Drosophila melanogaster: one gene and its partners. The protein of the gene in region 2 purifies or fractionates together with the protein of the main gene of each other region. This does not show direct contact. Each region holds a gene or a part of one and is shown on either strand. Other genes may lie near its edges.

Region 1 (4,684 bases), on a different chromosome or scaffold from region 2:
TGTCCTTGTGCCAGTGACCGTAGCGGGCACTGGTTGGGGCATGATAATTGGTATTTTGGGCCCTGCCCTCGAGGAAGGGGAAGTGGCGGAGATCGAGCTTATCCTCTATGCAATCCTCCATGATGTCCTTGATCACCGGTGTCCAGCGGGACATCTGGTAGGTGCTTTCTGTGGTGCGCTCCTTGCGCGGCACCGAGTACTGCTTCTTGCGCGAATCTGCAATGACATTGATGCCCAAGCAACTAAGGTTACGCACCATATCCTGATCCTTCGGCGACAGCTGGGCATGCGTAAACAGCTTGGTCAGGTTCTCCTCGGAAATTCCGTTCTTGATCATGACGTACAGGGCAATGATGCGAACCTTGTCGTAGTTCGAGACATTGGCGTCCAGCAAGATGGGCACAATGTTGCGCATATGATCCTTGATCTTTTCGCCCTCGGCGTCCGTGCCCATGGCCAGATCCTGTTCCACGCGGCACAGCTTGTCCACGTAGTTCTGGTACGACTTCATGCAGTCCTCGGCCAAATGCAAGTGGGTGGAGTACTTGGACAGCTCCTTCTGGTACTGCGGCATCTTCTTGATCATCTGCGAGAGATCGCGCATCGACGACTTGTCAGCCGAGCCCATGCGCTTAGAGTCGGTGAATTTCTTAAGGTTCTGAGTCACCTGGGTGGAGACCACAGCGATATGCTCGTGACGCAGCTCCACCCACAAGTCGTCGTTCTCGTCGAGCAGCACCTCCTTATCCGGCTGGTTGGGGCCGGGCGTGTAGCGATACACGTCATTGACGATGGGTAGCAAATCGTAGGCCATGGCCTGCAGGGTGAGCTCGTGCAGCAGCGGCGACACGCAGTCGAAGCCGCGATCCAGGATCAGCAGCTGGGATCGTGCCTTCTCGGGGCCCTCGCCCATGGTGGCATCGTCGGCCTTGTAGGCGTCCAGCTTCTGCTGCACCGACGCGGCCAAATCGATGTTCCTGTCCCAGTCGCTGCGGTAGCGCACATTTGGGTACTCCCCAAGGGTAGCGCACAGTGTGGCTATTTGCTCGGCAATTCGCTCGATGTGCTTGCTCCGAATGGAGGCAAAGGCCGGCGAGTAGAGGCATTGGAATGTGTCCGGCGAGTCCAGCGAGAACACCTGGCATTCGTATGGCAAAAATGCAATGTTGATCTCCTTCAGCGTCTTGATCTTTCCGGCCGCGCACGACTTGCACAGATCGTTGAATAGCTCCTCGGGACAAACTTCGGTGAAGAAGACATGGGCATAGCGATACATGGGCCGCGCTGGGTTCTCGAAGTCTCGTATCAGACCGCGCACTGACTCATCCGACGGCGTAATCAGATAGATCGCGTCCATCGTGGGCAGCGGCTCGCGCTTCTTGTTGATGTCCTCAACCAGGGTGATGCCCTCGGCGCTGATTTCGTGCATCTTGGTGCAGGCGGACACCATGCGCATACCCAGCTTGTCCACCACCAGCACCCGCCATTCCATGCCGCCCGCCCCCGCAGCGGACGTAACGCCCTGCTTTTTGGGTGGTGGAGGCTTGTACTTCACCACCTCGTTCATCAGCTTTTGGCCCACCAGCACTTTCAAGGCCATTTTCACTGCGTTTTATTGGTCACGGGCGCAAAGGCAACTCGATTATGAACACACTGCGTGTAAATATGTCTTTTTAGCTTATTCCGTTCGCTTTTTCGCGTGGGCTAACTTGACTTAAAGAATTTTATCTATTCCTTGGCCAATTTTTCTGTATTTTTTTCGTTTGATGACTTAGCCTTAGTGATGGGCGAAAGTCGATTGCTGGCTAGCGATAGTTGATATCGATATTACTGTCTAGCAGAGACGCGCACCCGTCTCAGTGCGAGTGTGGATTTCTCAGTTAACCGAGAACGGTCACGCTGCTGCTGTCGAGGAAGGAAAATAAAATAATTTTGCTGGCCAACTGGTCGATTTAAACGGGGAAATGCAGATGCAAACGTACAAACTGGTGGTCGTCGGCGGCGGCGGCGTGGGCAAGTCAGCGATAACGATACAGTTCATCCAGGTAAGCCGCCCAGCATCGGCCCAATCCCTGGTGACGTCGCTTTCCACAGGGGCGTTTGAATGTGGGAGTGGGGGGCGATGGCGCACAGGGGCGGTGGCAGGGGGACGGCCCTTGTTTTGGCCAGAGCAACAAACAAGCAACAAGCGACTGTGATGTGCGTCTGTGTTTGGACATGCGTGTGCATAGTTTCGGGCCGAGATCATCACCAACACAATCATCATCATCATCATCATTGGCAGCATCATCATCGCGGTGGCCACACCCCCGTGTGTATCTCCAATTGGGGATCAAGTGGTCAGAGCCCAGAACCAGGGAGTTGCGTTAGACGCAGCCCCCAGTTTTCTGGGTGTGCCGATCGATTCCCCGAGAGTTTGTGCCATGGTCACGACCACAATGACCGCCCGCTTCCATTTATTTTTAGTCATTTGCGTCATCTGCACATCTTTCGTGTATATGCTGTAGCTTTTCCCCAAGATATATAGAGCATAGTGGATAGTGAATGATAAAAGTGACGTGTGTAAACAAATCAAAGGCGGAATGATAAACGCACCCCGCCCACATAAAAAACCCAGTCTTATAATGTTTATATATGTAGTTTTGTGGCCTCGGCAGCTGGCGGTACAATAATTTTAATCCTAATCTTGCAGAGCTACTTCGTCACGGACTACGATCCCACCATTGAAGACTCGTACACGAAGCAGTGCAACATCGACGATGTGCCAGCCAAATTGGACAGTAAGCTTCCTTTCTTTACCCTTACCAGATTCATAATAACCTGATATTTTACCTAGTTTTGGACACGGCTGGCCAGGAGGAGTTCAGTGCCATGCGGGAGCAGTACATGCGCTCCGGCGAGGGATTCCTGCTCGTCTTCGCGCTCAACGATCATTCCAGCTTCGATGAGATCCCCAAGTTCCAGCGCCAGATACTGCGCGTCAAGGATCGCGACGAGTTCCCCATGCTGATGGTGGGTAACAAGTGCGACCTGAAGCACCAGCAGCAGGTGTCCCTGGAGGAGGCGCAGAACACCAGCCGCAACCTGATGATCCCCTACATCGAGTGCAGTGCCAAACTGAGGGTCAACGTCGATCAGGCCTTCCACGAGCTCGTGAGGATCGTGCGCAAGTTCCAGATCGCCGAGCGTCCCTTCATCGAGCAGGATTACAAGAAGAAGGGCAAGAGGAAGTGCTGCCTGATGTAGAAGGAACTAAATGGAAGAGAATCTCCTGAATGCCGCAGCGGAAGCAGGAGCCAACATATAATGATTATAACACCAAATTTTTTGAAAAACACGCGTCGACTGAGCTTTGAATTCCGTTGAGAAGACGATAAACCAGTAACCCGAAACCAGTAACCGCACAAAACGTGTCAACGAGCCCAAACGAAGTGCATTTCTTACCTGCCCAGGTGCATGGCGCATTCAACGAACGAATCGAATAAACTTCGCCACTCTCAAATAGCTACGAAGAATCTTACAACTGACAACTAACAATGCAAAATGCAAACAGAAACACGAAACATAGGTAGATATATACAACAGATTCACACGAATAACTTATATATACATATATATTTCTACATATATTTTTGTAATATTATTTTGTTGATCAACGACAACAATTAAGGACGAATGTTTTCATGATTATTACCAATCGTGGCTCGCAGGCCATTTGTTTTTATAATGCAATAACTAAGCCCAGAACGTTTGTTTCGATTAAGCCAAAACGTAATAATGTGTTATTGTAATTTGTATTGTTATTTACTACTAATATATACGTATACATATATTAACTGCTTACAAACCGATTTTGTTGTAACAAATTGAGTGCCTCGTTCTCGCGCGTAGAAATCTAAAACATCAAACTCTGTATTACACCCACGGCATTTTTGTACTATACCCGCAGCTGCCAGGCGCGCACAACTCACTTAACGATACTTTTGTACATGTCCCCAGTCGGATCCGGATCCTATGGTTTATTGTTCGCCAAATGTATTGCAACAGTTGCTTTAGCCGCAATCTTGTTTTAACTCTTATACACTGCTTAATTTAACGAACTTATTTAATGGTATATAAATAAATATATAATTAAATTTAAAATTAAACATATGCGCAATTCTAATAAACACATGGAGAATCACAAACGCTTCCACATAGAAGATTGTTTCAATGACGCTCTCGACTGGAATTGAAAATTCCGACCCAATCCAAGCAATTATAGAAAGAATCCTTGCTAGTGCTGTGTTAATTACTTACCAGCTGTCTTCCCTTCGAGCTCAATGGGTATAAAAGCGGGCTGAATCGAAGTGGACCAGCATAGAACTCAGAATGAATCCCAAGAGCGAAGTCCTCATTGCAGCCGTGCTCTTCATGCTGCTGGCCTGCGTCCAGTGTCAAGTGAGTGAATTCATATCCCGCTGCAGGATATCCCTTTCTGATGTCTCATTTTATTTTCCTCTATATAGTTGACCTTCTCGCCGGATTGGGGCAAGCGTTCGGTGGGCGGAGCTGGTCCTGGAACCTTTTTCGAGACACAGCAGGGCAACTGCAAGACCTCCAACGAAATGCTGCTCGAGATCTTCCGCTTCGTGCAATCTCAGGCACAGCTCTTTCTGGACTGCAAGCACCGCGAGTAGATAGC
Region 2 (6,535 bases):
AATCATTTTGAGGCCCCGTTTTCACAGTTTCGGAAAGCTCCAAATCAGGCGACAACTGATACAACCTGTTAACACCACCAACGAAGACTCGTCCAGTAATGGTGTCCACTAATAGGTGATTCAATTTGGTGTCAAACGCAGCTACATTTGTAATCGTAGAATTCAGATTCTTTGCATTCTTTATCGGTGCATTTGCATTAGTCAAATTTATCGGCTCATTTTGCGCAGTCGTCTTGTCAGACCATATATTTGCTGCCAGGGTTTGACAACCTGTCCTCGATGGCAGCCAGTAATCATACTTATCTTTAAGAATTGCTATTAACAACACACTAAGAACAAAATTCATCTCCACAATCGCTCCTTAAACAGGACTATCAAAGCTACCTTATTTATGAAATTGTTACTTGTAGGCGCTTGTATGTCCCTTATTTATTTGAAATTTTACGTAAATATTAAAATTTCCTTTGCGTTGGTGTCATTCTTGCAATTTTTATTATCCGTTCCATTCAAGATAATTTAACTTGGAGCAATAACTTGTATGACCATCATGTAAACCTGAAAAAACAATAAGGAAAGTAGTTATATATATATATATATATATATATATATATATATATACCCGTTACTCGTAGAGTAAAGGGTATACTAGATTCGTTGATAATTATTTAACTGGCAGAAGTAGGCGTTTCCGACCATATAAAGAAAATATATTCTTGATCAGGATCAATAGCCGAGTCGATCTGGCCATGTACGAATGAACGCAAGGTTAAACTTCGCTAAAACCTACAGAAACTGTCCAGTCTCCAAATGGCTTAATATCCTTTGGACTGATGAGTCAAAAATATGAACTGGAACTGGTTCACGACAGTATGTCCAACGACCTCCAAAGACCGAGTACAACCCAAGCCACACACTCAAGAATGTTAAGCACGGTGGACATAAATATGGTATGGGCCTGTTTTTCATACAACGGTGTGGGTCCCATACATATGATTAATGGTATGTAAATATACCTAGTGATGTTTTACTGCCATATGCTGAATGGAATATGCCCTTATAATGGACATTCCAATAGGATAATGATCCGAAACGCAGAAGCAAATCGGCTAAGAATAAGTTCACCCAAAATAGAATAGATGCAATGCCGTGGCAAGCACCATCATCCGATTTAAACCCGATTGAAAACCTGTGGGGGGACATTAAACAATACGTGTCGAAGAATTCCCCGATGTCCAAGATTCAGCTTTGGCAAGTTGTGCAGGATGCATGGGCAAAAATTCCCCCAAACGTCCTCGTGGACTCCATGCCGAGTAGGTGTAAGGCTGTGCTGGCTAAAAAAGGCAATCCAACCAGGTATTAGTCCCTAATTAACACATTAAAAAAAAACTATGTTAGTTCTAAGTCATGTTGTTACTATTTTTTCATATCACTGCTATTTCAGTGAACACCAGAATTTCTGCCTATTATGTTGTTTTAATCTATATCTATTGAAAAAATAAAAGTGAAACATATGTTGAATTGTTTGATATAATAATAAAATTATGAAAAAAATTCCCATTACAACTTTAAATCATATGATTTTTTATCCTAAACTCGCAAGTCCCAAGCACTGCTATTTTTATGAACACAGCTGTATATATCAGCTAAAAGGTTGAGATTCAGCATACAGATTCTAAAGACAAATACGGAGCGAAAGTTTGTTAACCTATGTTGCCACGCCCACTCTAACGCCCTAAAACCGCGCAAAACTGCCACGCTCACATTTTAAAACAAATTTTAAATTTTTTCTCATTTTATTCCTTAATATTGATATCCCAGAAAAATAAAGCAATTTCGCGTTCGCATTCACACTAGCTGAGTTACGGGTATCTGAGTCGGGGAACTCGACTATAGTATTCTTTCGAATTCTATTTGTGTGGATCACCAAACATTGAAATGCTGTTACATATAGATTATAAATGTATTTCGTGAACACCCAATAAATCGTAATTTTGAAAATCTTCACAGCCAAAAAAACTCAGTTTAAAAATTTAATCACGTCAAAACAAAAACTGTGGGTTGGCTGTAAGTGTACTTCCCTGAAACATGGGTAGTTTATCGCATAGTTTAAAATGATGTCGTACAAATAGTTTTGAAACTACAGTTAAGGTTAAAATAATAGCACTACTGCAGGTGGAAAATTGATATCCTAAAAAAAATTATAAATTTTTTTTTTTTTAAGCCAGATTGCATGAATAATAAGTACCATATGTTGCCTCTTTGAGCAATAAATTTTTAGTCTCTCAATTTAACGGTTCTTTTTGTTTTTGGGCACTTGCTGCAAAAGTGCGCGAAATGAGGCGGTAACAAAAATAGCACTGAAAACGTATTTGCTGAATAAAATTAATGGGAGTGATTGCTTTGGTTTTTTTTACGACAAATTTTGAAAAAAAGGTGTTGCATTAAAGGTTTTAATTGAATTTGCTCCAAACGAAGACCAAAAATTCTCTAGTCATGGGTCACGGAAAGCATTGTACCGTCGAAAAAAGAAATTTGATTAAAAACGTGATCTCTGAAGGTAAAACCTACGCTGAAATTGGTCGCATTGTCGGTTGTTCAAACAAAATGATCCGCAAATCACTGCTGTTTGTCGAAAAGAACGAAACGCGGCGAGGAAAGCCTTCAATGTCCAACTTGGATGCTCTCCAAGCATCCAAGCGCTTGGTTCGGCAAAGCAAGAACCCGGTGACGGAACTGAAGATGGAGCTTCAGATATACTGGCTCAACTCCTTAATATGAAAATCTCACCCAAAGCATAATTCATGAACCAACGTGCTCTACCATTTACTGTCTCCGAATAGGACTATAACCGACCAAAATATATTCCGCTACTGCCGCTAATATGTTGACCGCAACTGTACATATATATTAAACATGAATCCATATCATGCTATAAATATTAATGGAATGGAAATCCCAAGCTAAGGAGTTTCCTATGTATGCTATATAAGCATATCTCGTTTTTGCAATAAAAAATTTCCTCTACCTAACACATTAATTGTAAAACTTTGAACAAATTCAGTTCCAAACGTTCAATTTTTTTCCACTTACATATATTCGCACTCAGGCCACTTATTCCAAGCCATTTCGTTATAGAGAATTTATGTAGTTTTAAAGTATATTCACGGCTATTCCAGGATTTCAAATTTGGGCGAGCGTGCACAATATTTGGTAATTTCATTGCAAATGCATATATGCATACTGCACATACATACATACAAATTTGGCCAGCGCCCGAATTTAAATACATATAATAAACCGGTAAAATGTAAGTGCACTTAGTTTAAATGTTTTTAGGCAAAGATTATTGAGAGAAGTAAAACTCGATCTTTTGCATTTGGAATTTTTGGGATATTCTGGTGCACACACATCTATACAAAATGTATATATTTATATGCATACACATGCACATCATATACAGCAAATTTTATTTTGCTGCTATCTTTCCCAATGCATGATGCATTTAATTTCGTATGTGTGAAACGCAGCTAACAATGTATTTAAATAAGAGCCACACTTTTTAAAAATACTATTTACATAAATATAATATATACTTAAGTACATAAAACAAAATGATTGCATGGCCGTTTTTAATTTTTACATACATACAACGTTGTATACCAGTTAAAGAAAATTTGTATTTTCTTAATAATTCTAAAGCAATGCAATATACACTGGAACGTTAAATGATTTTATTACACTTTTTTTAATATTTAGCAAAAAATGACAATTTTGTATGTATATCTGAATTATGGAACGGCGATAGTTTTCTAGTGAACAATCGGAAATCCGGCTTACTGTTTGTTTTCCTATATTTCACTCATTAACTATTATTTCTTTACATCGCAAGTCACTGAACATAATTTCTGTCTATTTTCGAATTACACCACACTTTAATTTACACATCATTGTATGTAAATGTTATCGATACTATAAGGCAGAGGAGAGAATTAAACAACTAGTTGTTAGTCCTAAGACCCGTTCATACCTATCACTATCGATACCTAAATTAACCGATGGCACACTTCAAAATGTAATGTTCACGAGTACATGGAAAATGTCTTGTTGTTACTGTGTAATGACTCGTACGAAAGTAATTTGGAAGGGGTTTGATTCCCAAGCCAGATAATATTTATTATCTCTCTAATTTCCTTGAGCATTATTAAAAAATGAAATAAATATATTTAATATATTCGTTTTCTTTAATATCGATAGTGTGATGAGACTATAAAGGTCTGTTCACAATGAAAATGTAAATTGAAAAATTGGACTTAAGAATTTCATGCTAACAGCTCCTCAATCCACAGCAAATATGTGCGCAAACTGTATCAAAGCATAATTTTGTTATTTAAAATTTCATGGCACAACTTTTTTTTGTTGGCCTTTGTGCACATTTTATGACCTATTGAAATATCTTCAACTGACACCGACTGCAGATGTGCATATTTACACATCTGATTTAAAGCATTGTTGTTATGACCATGTAGTTAGAGACTTAGTTAGTTAGTAAGAAAAAAAAATAATCAATAATTTCACTGTTTTGAGGGCTGATTAGCAATAGAGATTTTTTCTAAGAAATGACATATAGATAAAAGTTAAATGAATTGAATTGCAGGGTGTTTATTTGCACATGTACACATGAAGTGTATTCCACTATTGGCTGCTTACATTCTCAGCTTCGTGCGTGCGCAGTTTGCGGTATTTTTGGCGCTACTAAGGTAAATTCTATCCATAAATCGTCTATCTCACGTTAAACAACAGGATATCAACAACTTGTGGGAAACTGTCAGAAGATACCGTTGACGCACTTTTCAAAAGTTTATTCCCCTAAATCGTAAAATAGAAATGTAGAAAGGAACAAACTTATGGAGAATTGATATTTTCGGAACTATGAACTCTAGAGAGCTCAGAGCATGTAGATTCAAGTGACGCCACATTTTTCAAGATTGTTGCAGAACGTTTGTTGTTTAACCCTACCTCCCACAATCTGCCTTAAAATGTCAGAAATAAAAGGTTTACCCGTTATTCAGATAGTGGGAACAGTGGGCGTGGCTAAAATACGTTTGGCAAATCGATAGAAACAGCCAAGAGAATTTATAAAATAAAATCGAAAAATAATTCTTAAGAGTGGGCATAACAGTTTGGGTGTGGCAAAATTTTTGTGGTATGTCAATATCATGACAGATAATTAAATGAAAACAAAATAACAACACAACGCCCACAGAAATTGTGGGCGTTAGATTGGGCGTGACGTCGTTATGATACAATCTTGCTTATCCAATTCAAATTTAAATGATCGAGTAAATATTTTGAGAAGCACATGCCCAACCGACTAATAACGGAGGGAAATAAGATTTCAAGCAAAATTTTTTGAAGTGCTTTGTAGGATTAAAACTCGAGTGCCTATAATACATGTATACTATAAATTCCATTCTATATGTACAGCCTTTCCGCCGAATACCCCTAAAAAAACGACAACCAAATCCAGTCCGAAGTCACATGTCGAGATAAGGATAATAATGTATTTGTTAAATTTGATACACAGGCACCGTATTACTTATGCGGGGAACTTAGTGCCCTAGCTATTAAGTATCATGGAGAGGTAGCAGTTCCATACGAGGGCGATGAACTGGGCGTAGAGCACCTGGTAGCCCAGCGGCACGAATCTGAAGTTTAGCATCTGTGCGGCCGGCCAGAGCATATAGTTGCGGACCAATATAGATAGGTAGCTATCAAGAATGCGCTGCCGGATTCGGTCGATGGGCTCTCCGTTGGAGAGTGGCACCAAAAAAGACATGGCCATGGTAAAGGGTGGCGCAAAAAGGGTCTGGTCGACCAGCATTTTGGTAACGCCCCGCCGCATTGGCGAGTAGGTTTTGGGAACCCGGGACTCCAAAAAATGGTACCACCGGCGCAAAGTTGGGCCAACGAACACCAGTCCAACGATGCCGAAACGGAGGGTTCGCCCCGCATCCCATTCGTCCAACGATTTCTTATCAAAAAAGAACTGGGATATAGTATCGCCCAGACACATTACCGCCGCCACATTGATGCCATCCTTTAGGTACGCTTTAAGTCTCTTCATCCTTATCAGAGATCAGTTCCATTCATAGCCCGATCCAAATTGTTTTAAATACGCAATTAAAACACAACTGAGAAATCGATTTGCTGTTGTTCGTGTAGTTTTAAAGGGTTGCCTAATAATCGCAAAGTGATTGGTGTCAATTGCTGAAGTGACAAAAATTGGCAACTCTGAATAATTATTTAAATTAAATTATGCTAGCGTATTCAACTTTTTAACGCGCGTGAGTCCTTTTAATTGTTACATGCCGAATGAGAAAACGTTAAATTGCGTTCAATATGCAATTTAATGTAATGTAATGTAAAATAACTTAAACGTTTTAAGTATCGAACTGTTTTAGCACAGAAATCTCTTTCGGAACATGCGCAACGCGTATTCTTAATATTCTTTTAAATATAAATCTTAACTTTAACC
Region 3 (4,939 bases), on a different chromosome or scaffold from region 2:
CGGTAGCCAGGCCAGCAAAGATAGCCAAGATCTTTCCATATTAACAAAAGAAGATATAACTACTAGACCTACCTGACGGAACCAGCCGATGCCACATTAACATTACAATTGTCGGTCGGAAAGTTAAGCCGTAAATTATCGGGGTTCTCGGGGAAGTGGTTTCGTCTATCGGTATCACTACCAACAAAATTAGCATATTTGGCCACTGTGTCTTTTCGGCCAAGACAAGAAACGCAGGCCGCGTCGACAATGGTTTAGGTAGCCGTAAATTGTCATGGGCTGGCAATGTTTTGGGCCTATGCTAATGTCGATCGTTGTCTGCCCACACTCAACTTTAACTCCCGGATCGAATTGAAACGGATTGGACGGATGGCATCGGTCCTCATGTTTGTGTATCCCTTGGGTTCGTGCTGTGGCATAAACAAAATCCGAGGATCGTGTTGCAGTTGCATTCAAGTTGAGGTTACTGCACCTTCGGGACGGTCCATTTGATGGTTTCGTATTTGTTCTCAGCGACCAGCTGTGTTTTCACACTTACTCTGGGAGTCAAGGCTGACAAAGATCTGAATAGTACAGCCTGGGATGTCTGCAGTAAAAGGAAAACCTTGGAAGGAACACTAAAAAAATAGAACAAAGCCCCACCAGGTGAATGAGCAAAACTAATCCCGTGAAAATGCGTCATATCTGTTGTTGTTCCTTAAATAAGAACTTTATGGTGTTGGACTTGAGATGAGTGATTCAGGTACTGTAAACTGTTGTACAAAGCATTAAAACACCGTTTATACTTCATTATGATAAAGAAATAATTAAATAAGTGATAAATCATTCCTTTTGTATCAAAAATATACTATACTATCTATCTGTATAGAATGAGAAAATCTATTAAATCATTTGTTTTGGCGCCATTTCTATGATTTGCTAATCGAGTATCTTTGCTGATGGGCAAAAACGTCGCAAGGCGGAAAAGATAGGATCTGTTGATCCCTCGTCTGGAGGAATATATCACGTGTCCTCGAACCGCGACGTCGGCAATACTAATGTCAATTTGTCAGGCTACCAAATCGAAGCACAGCAAGTGCCCGTCCCACCCTCCAAGTGGCTTCTCTATACCTCTTCGCGGAGCTGCACATCCCGATCCCGATCCCGGAGATTCAGATTCTGATTCTGAAGAGTCGTTCTCGTTGTCGTTGTCGCATGATATATGAGCGCCCTGCCCAGTTGCTGCTTCGGCTGCCGTAGCCGCGCCTCTTAACTCCCAAGCAGACACTGAGAGAAATTCGTACTTACTTTTGTGGGATGACTTGAAAAATAAATTTGGATTGCTATTACTATCTAAGAGACTTGCCCTTAAATTATTCGATTTAACAAACAGTTCAGTTAAAATAATAAATTACAAAGATGAAAATAAGGTCTTTTAATTATTTTATTATTATTTTTTATTTTTATTTTTACAGTTGAATTATATTATATATAGTTTTTAATTCATTGGATTATTTCATAGGTAAGGACCTCAAAACTATGCTACACTTCTGTGTACTTATAAATTTTATGAATTAAGGCTTGAAAAGTCTTTAACATTTAAGATACTAGCAGAAAATCATTAAAAACGAATACACATAATTCTGAAAAATATTTCTTGAATAAATTATGTAAAATATATTTTCGTTTTTAAATTTTGAATCAAAGGAAAGCGAATTTTAAATATTTTTTTCCTTGTTGTATTGCACATTTTTTCCGAGTGCATTCTTCAAGCCGAAATTGAGCCGGTTATCTTCGTCGGCGTTTTAGCCTGTTCTCTCTTGTTTGCCTCGGCGTTTTTTTTTTGTTTTGCGTTCGTGCTTCGTTTTCACGTTTTTGTTTTCGTTCCATTCGCTTCTCTGTCTCACTCTCTTCTCTCTCTATCGACTGACTATGGATCCGAATCCGAATCCATGGTGGGTTCAGTTTCTTGCGACTCTTTGCGCGGTCAACTTCGCCGATCGGTCGGGCATGCGCGTCCGTATAACTCGTATCTGAATAATCATAAGAGTAGGAAATCGAGGCAGAAGTAAAAACCCGTCTCGCTATATTCGTCGACCGTGTTGTTGGTGTCTATCTGTGTCTTTTGTCAATGTTTTTAACCCAACTCCACTTGAGGGGGAGCCAATCCGCCTTTCTTCTGAAAATTTCTTTCAAATAATACGAAAATCGTATGGAAAATTGAAAAATTGTGAGTGTTGTGTGCAAAGTGAACCACGGTGATCGTAGTTACGGTCAGATCATCTGAAGAATCAGAAACACGCGCCTTGCTCGATTCCCCTGCTTATCAGGCACATGCCTATATTATACAATTTACCAACAGTCTTTTACAATCTGTTCGCCGCAAAAGTTGAATGGAATAAATTTTAGTCTTTTATTTTGCACGAAACGTGACACTAAATGAAGTAAGTTTCGACTATCTCATCTGTATAATCGACGTTTTTTGCTGTTTACAATTTTTGTAATATTTTTTGAGGAAGTGTAAAGTGCTGCAACAAAAACTTATTACTAATCTTCAGGACAGATTAAGGGGTTTCTGTTAAATAGTGAAACATAATTCAAAATGAAATATAATTTAAACTTATTTAAAAGCTAGTGTTTAAGGAATTATTGAAGACAATTTTAATTTAAAAAATTTAAGAACTGTTATTTCTGAGTTGAAAAGAGGATAAATAACATTTAAGAAGAAATTGAGTTAGCGTTTGTTGAACGTCGATAATTAGTTAAAAATGTATGAAAAACTATATTATATCCACAACACACATTACAACTTCATTTCTTTTCTTTTTGCAGCATGTTAATACTGAAACTTCCCAAAATGTTTAGCCAACTGTGGCTTCTTCTGATTCTATCGCTCTTAACCCTAGAAGGCCCACAGCCTTCGACGGGCAGTGGTTATACGACAAAATCAAGTGTGGATTTGCTGGAAAACGATTCGCGATACATCTCATATCAAGGTGAGTTCTCGAGGTGGGCGGATTATCAAAAATTACTCGAAACTGTGTCAATTGCACGGCAATCAATCAAGTTGGCCACTTGAAGCGGTGGAACTGTAAATTGGGTTGATGTCTGTCAAAGTTCTAAGTGATTCCGAGAGTCTGCTGCAATCGATTGCACAAATGTTCGGTTCGATCGAACAGGTGCCATTTCGAATACAACGAATACACCCATCTGCCCAACTGTTTGTATTTGCACGGAATGTCAACAATGATCTCGATTTAACCGAGTTCCCCAACAAACCGCTTTTATGACACCCCAATACATTCGTGTATCTGCTGCTTTTAATCAGAAAAAGTTTCGCATTTTGTTAAAATATTTGTTCTTTTTTTGTGATTTTTGCACTGAAATGTATCTCGAAGTCCGTCTTAAAATGCGAACTCAGCCCAACGTTGTGTTGACAATGATTTTAATTTTTGTTTAGCGCTTTTTTATTTTATTTCGCACTTAAATATTGAAAAGTATATGTTTTACCAATGAATCAGTGAATCTTTTAAAAACCTTGAAAAATATGGGTTAAATAAAATTGAGCTTAATTGTGCCAAGATGCCAAAATGTTTTAATAAATTTGCAATATAATTGCTGAGATAATAATTGCTTATATAATAATTGCTAATATAATTGCTAATAAAACTTCAATTAAATTGCTTAGTATTTGTTTTTACGATTTTGTGCAATCTTTTTCTTACAAAAATGTTTTTATTTTCTTAACAGATTTAATGTCGACGGCCAAACGATTTTACGATCCCGAAACGACCTGGTATTCGGAAATGCTATTCGACGTGGCCAGGAACCAAGTGATTGTCGGCGCCAGGTAAAAACCGGGAGGCTATTGTTATTAGTTATTATAGATTTTGTTTCCGGCCAATTGAGTCACGGCTAAGCCGTGTACCTAGTCATTATGACTGTTTTTATTTTTCCTGTTGCGTCAAAACCCCAAAGATATGTACTGTTTGAAGGACTTGCTTTTTAATTAGTCTCACCGATAAGTGGGTCATTATTTTGGGCATTGATAGCGATAAGAAATGAAAAGGGAAAACACCCCCGAAAATAAATCGTCACTTAAGCATTTGTTAACTTTGGGTTATCAGCAGAGAGGCATTACGTAAAATTCGACGATCAGAAGAAAATAAACAGATGCATTGCGTACGTAAAACGGGTACTGATTATATTCGTCTTCTGTGTTTTTTTAGCGTATTACGCAAGTTACAAAAAAATACACAAAAGTGTATAAAAATGAAAGTGCACGCACTGGTATACCAAAGATTTTTTACATATCAACCAAGATCGACCAAAAACAAAAAAAACCCCTCGTCGAGAACTTATCTCAAGTACCTGCTGTGCGCAAGTGAATAAATAAAGATAATTGAGTGTAAAAAAAAGAATAAAAAAATTAAGAAAAGAGGGAAAGGGAACAAAACCGAAAAGGTAACCAAATAATAATATTGCAGCGCCGAGGGAGAAGTGGTATACTCCGTTTATTTGTTGAGCAATTTAATATACGCGTTTCGAGATACAAAAGTATCTGTCGCTTTAGCCGGGTTACTCGGTTCTTGTAGTTTACTTTTCATTTACGCGTCTTGAAGTTTGTTTGTTTCTGCTTCGCATAGATATGGATGCGATACTACTCCACCTCTGTCGGAAAAAAAAACACGATAAGATACACACATGGACGCATGTGTCTATAGTGTCGTCATGTTGATAAACCCACCTTAACCCATTGCTGCCCGGGAAGGGAAGTCGTTTATCATGTTCCCTTGTCGTCAATCATTTGTCATACTTTTCAGTTTCAGTTTTAGTTGCCTTTTCTATTCTTTATTGCCTACGATTTTCACTTCGACCATAACTCCACTCTGCCATATTTTTTGTTGCTCTCTTATTTACCAACCTCTGAATTATGGCATAATGATAAGAGCCCGATATT

Evidence for each region.
Region 1: the proteins of PlexA (region 2) and Ras64B purify together in Drosophila melanogaster (affinity purification with western blotting, with the first as the bait; one study listed by BioGRID). This does not show direct contact.
Region 3: the proteins of PlexA (region 2) and Sema5c purify together in Drosophila melanogaster (affinity purification with western blotting; one study listed by BioGRID). This does not show direct contact.

The regions. Positions count from the first base shown.
Region 1 is NT_037436.4:4,137,215-4,141,898, forward strand, and holds Ras64B (Ras oncogene at 64B), read left to right. Parts: upstream 1-1,861; 5' UTR 1,862-1,964; coding exon 1,965-2,045; intron 2,046-2,692; coding exon 2,693-2,780; intron 2,781-2,836; coding exon 2,837-3,246; 3' UTR 3,247-4,184; downstream 4,185-4,684. Other genes in the region: Rop (Ras opposite), read right to left, coding at 1-1,600; Akh (adipokinetic hormone), read left to right, coding at 4,372-4,440, 4,509-4,679. UniProt on the Drosophila melanogaster protein: May be involved in endocytic processes and/or other transport pathways mediated by vesicle trafficking. May interact functionally with ROP protein. Ras proteins bind GDP/GTP and possess intrinsic GTPase activity.
Region 2 is NC_004353.4:1,023,126-1,029,660, forward strand, and holds the start of PlexA (plexin A), read right to left. Parts: upstream 3,977-6,535; 5' UTR 3,838-3,976; exon of another isoform or gene 3,645-3,837; intron 3,411-3,644; exon of another isoform or gene 3,091-3,410; intron 556-3,090; 5' UTR 347-555; coding exon 1-346. Other genes in the region: mitochondrial inner membrane protein MPV17, read right to left, coding at 5,618-6,124.
Region 3 is NT_037436.4:12,078,831-12,083,769, reverse strand, and holds the start of Sema5c (semaphorin 5c), read left to right. Parts: upstream 1-1,939; 5' UTR 1,940-2,418; coding exon 2,419-2,423; intron 2,424-2,811; coding exon 2,812-2,975; intron 2,976-3,729; coding exon 3,730-3,829; intron 3,830-4,939. UniProt on the Drosophila melanogaster protein: Regulates the motility of migrating epithelial cells by providing guidance cues within the migratory environment and may also play a role in development of the olfactory system. May act as a positive axonal guidance cue.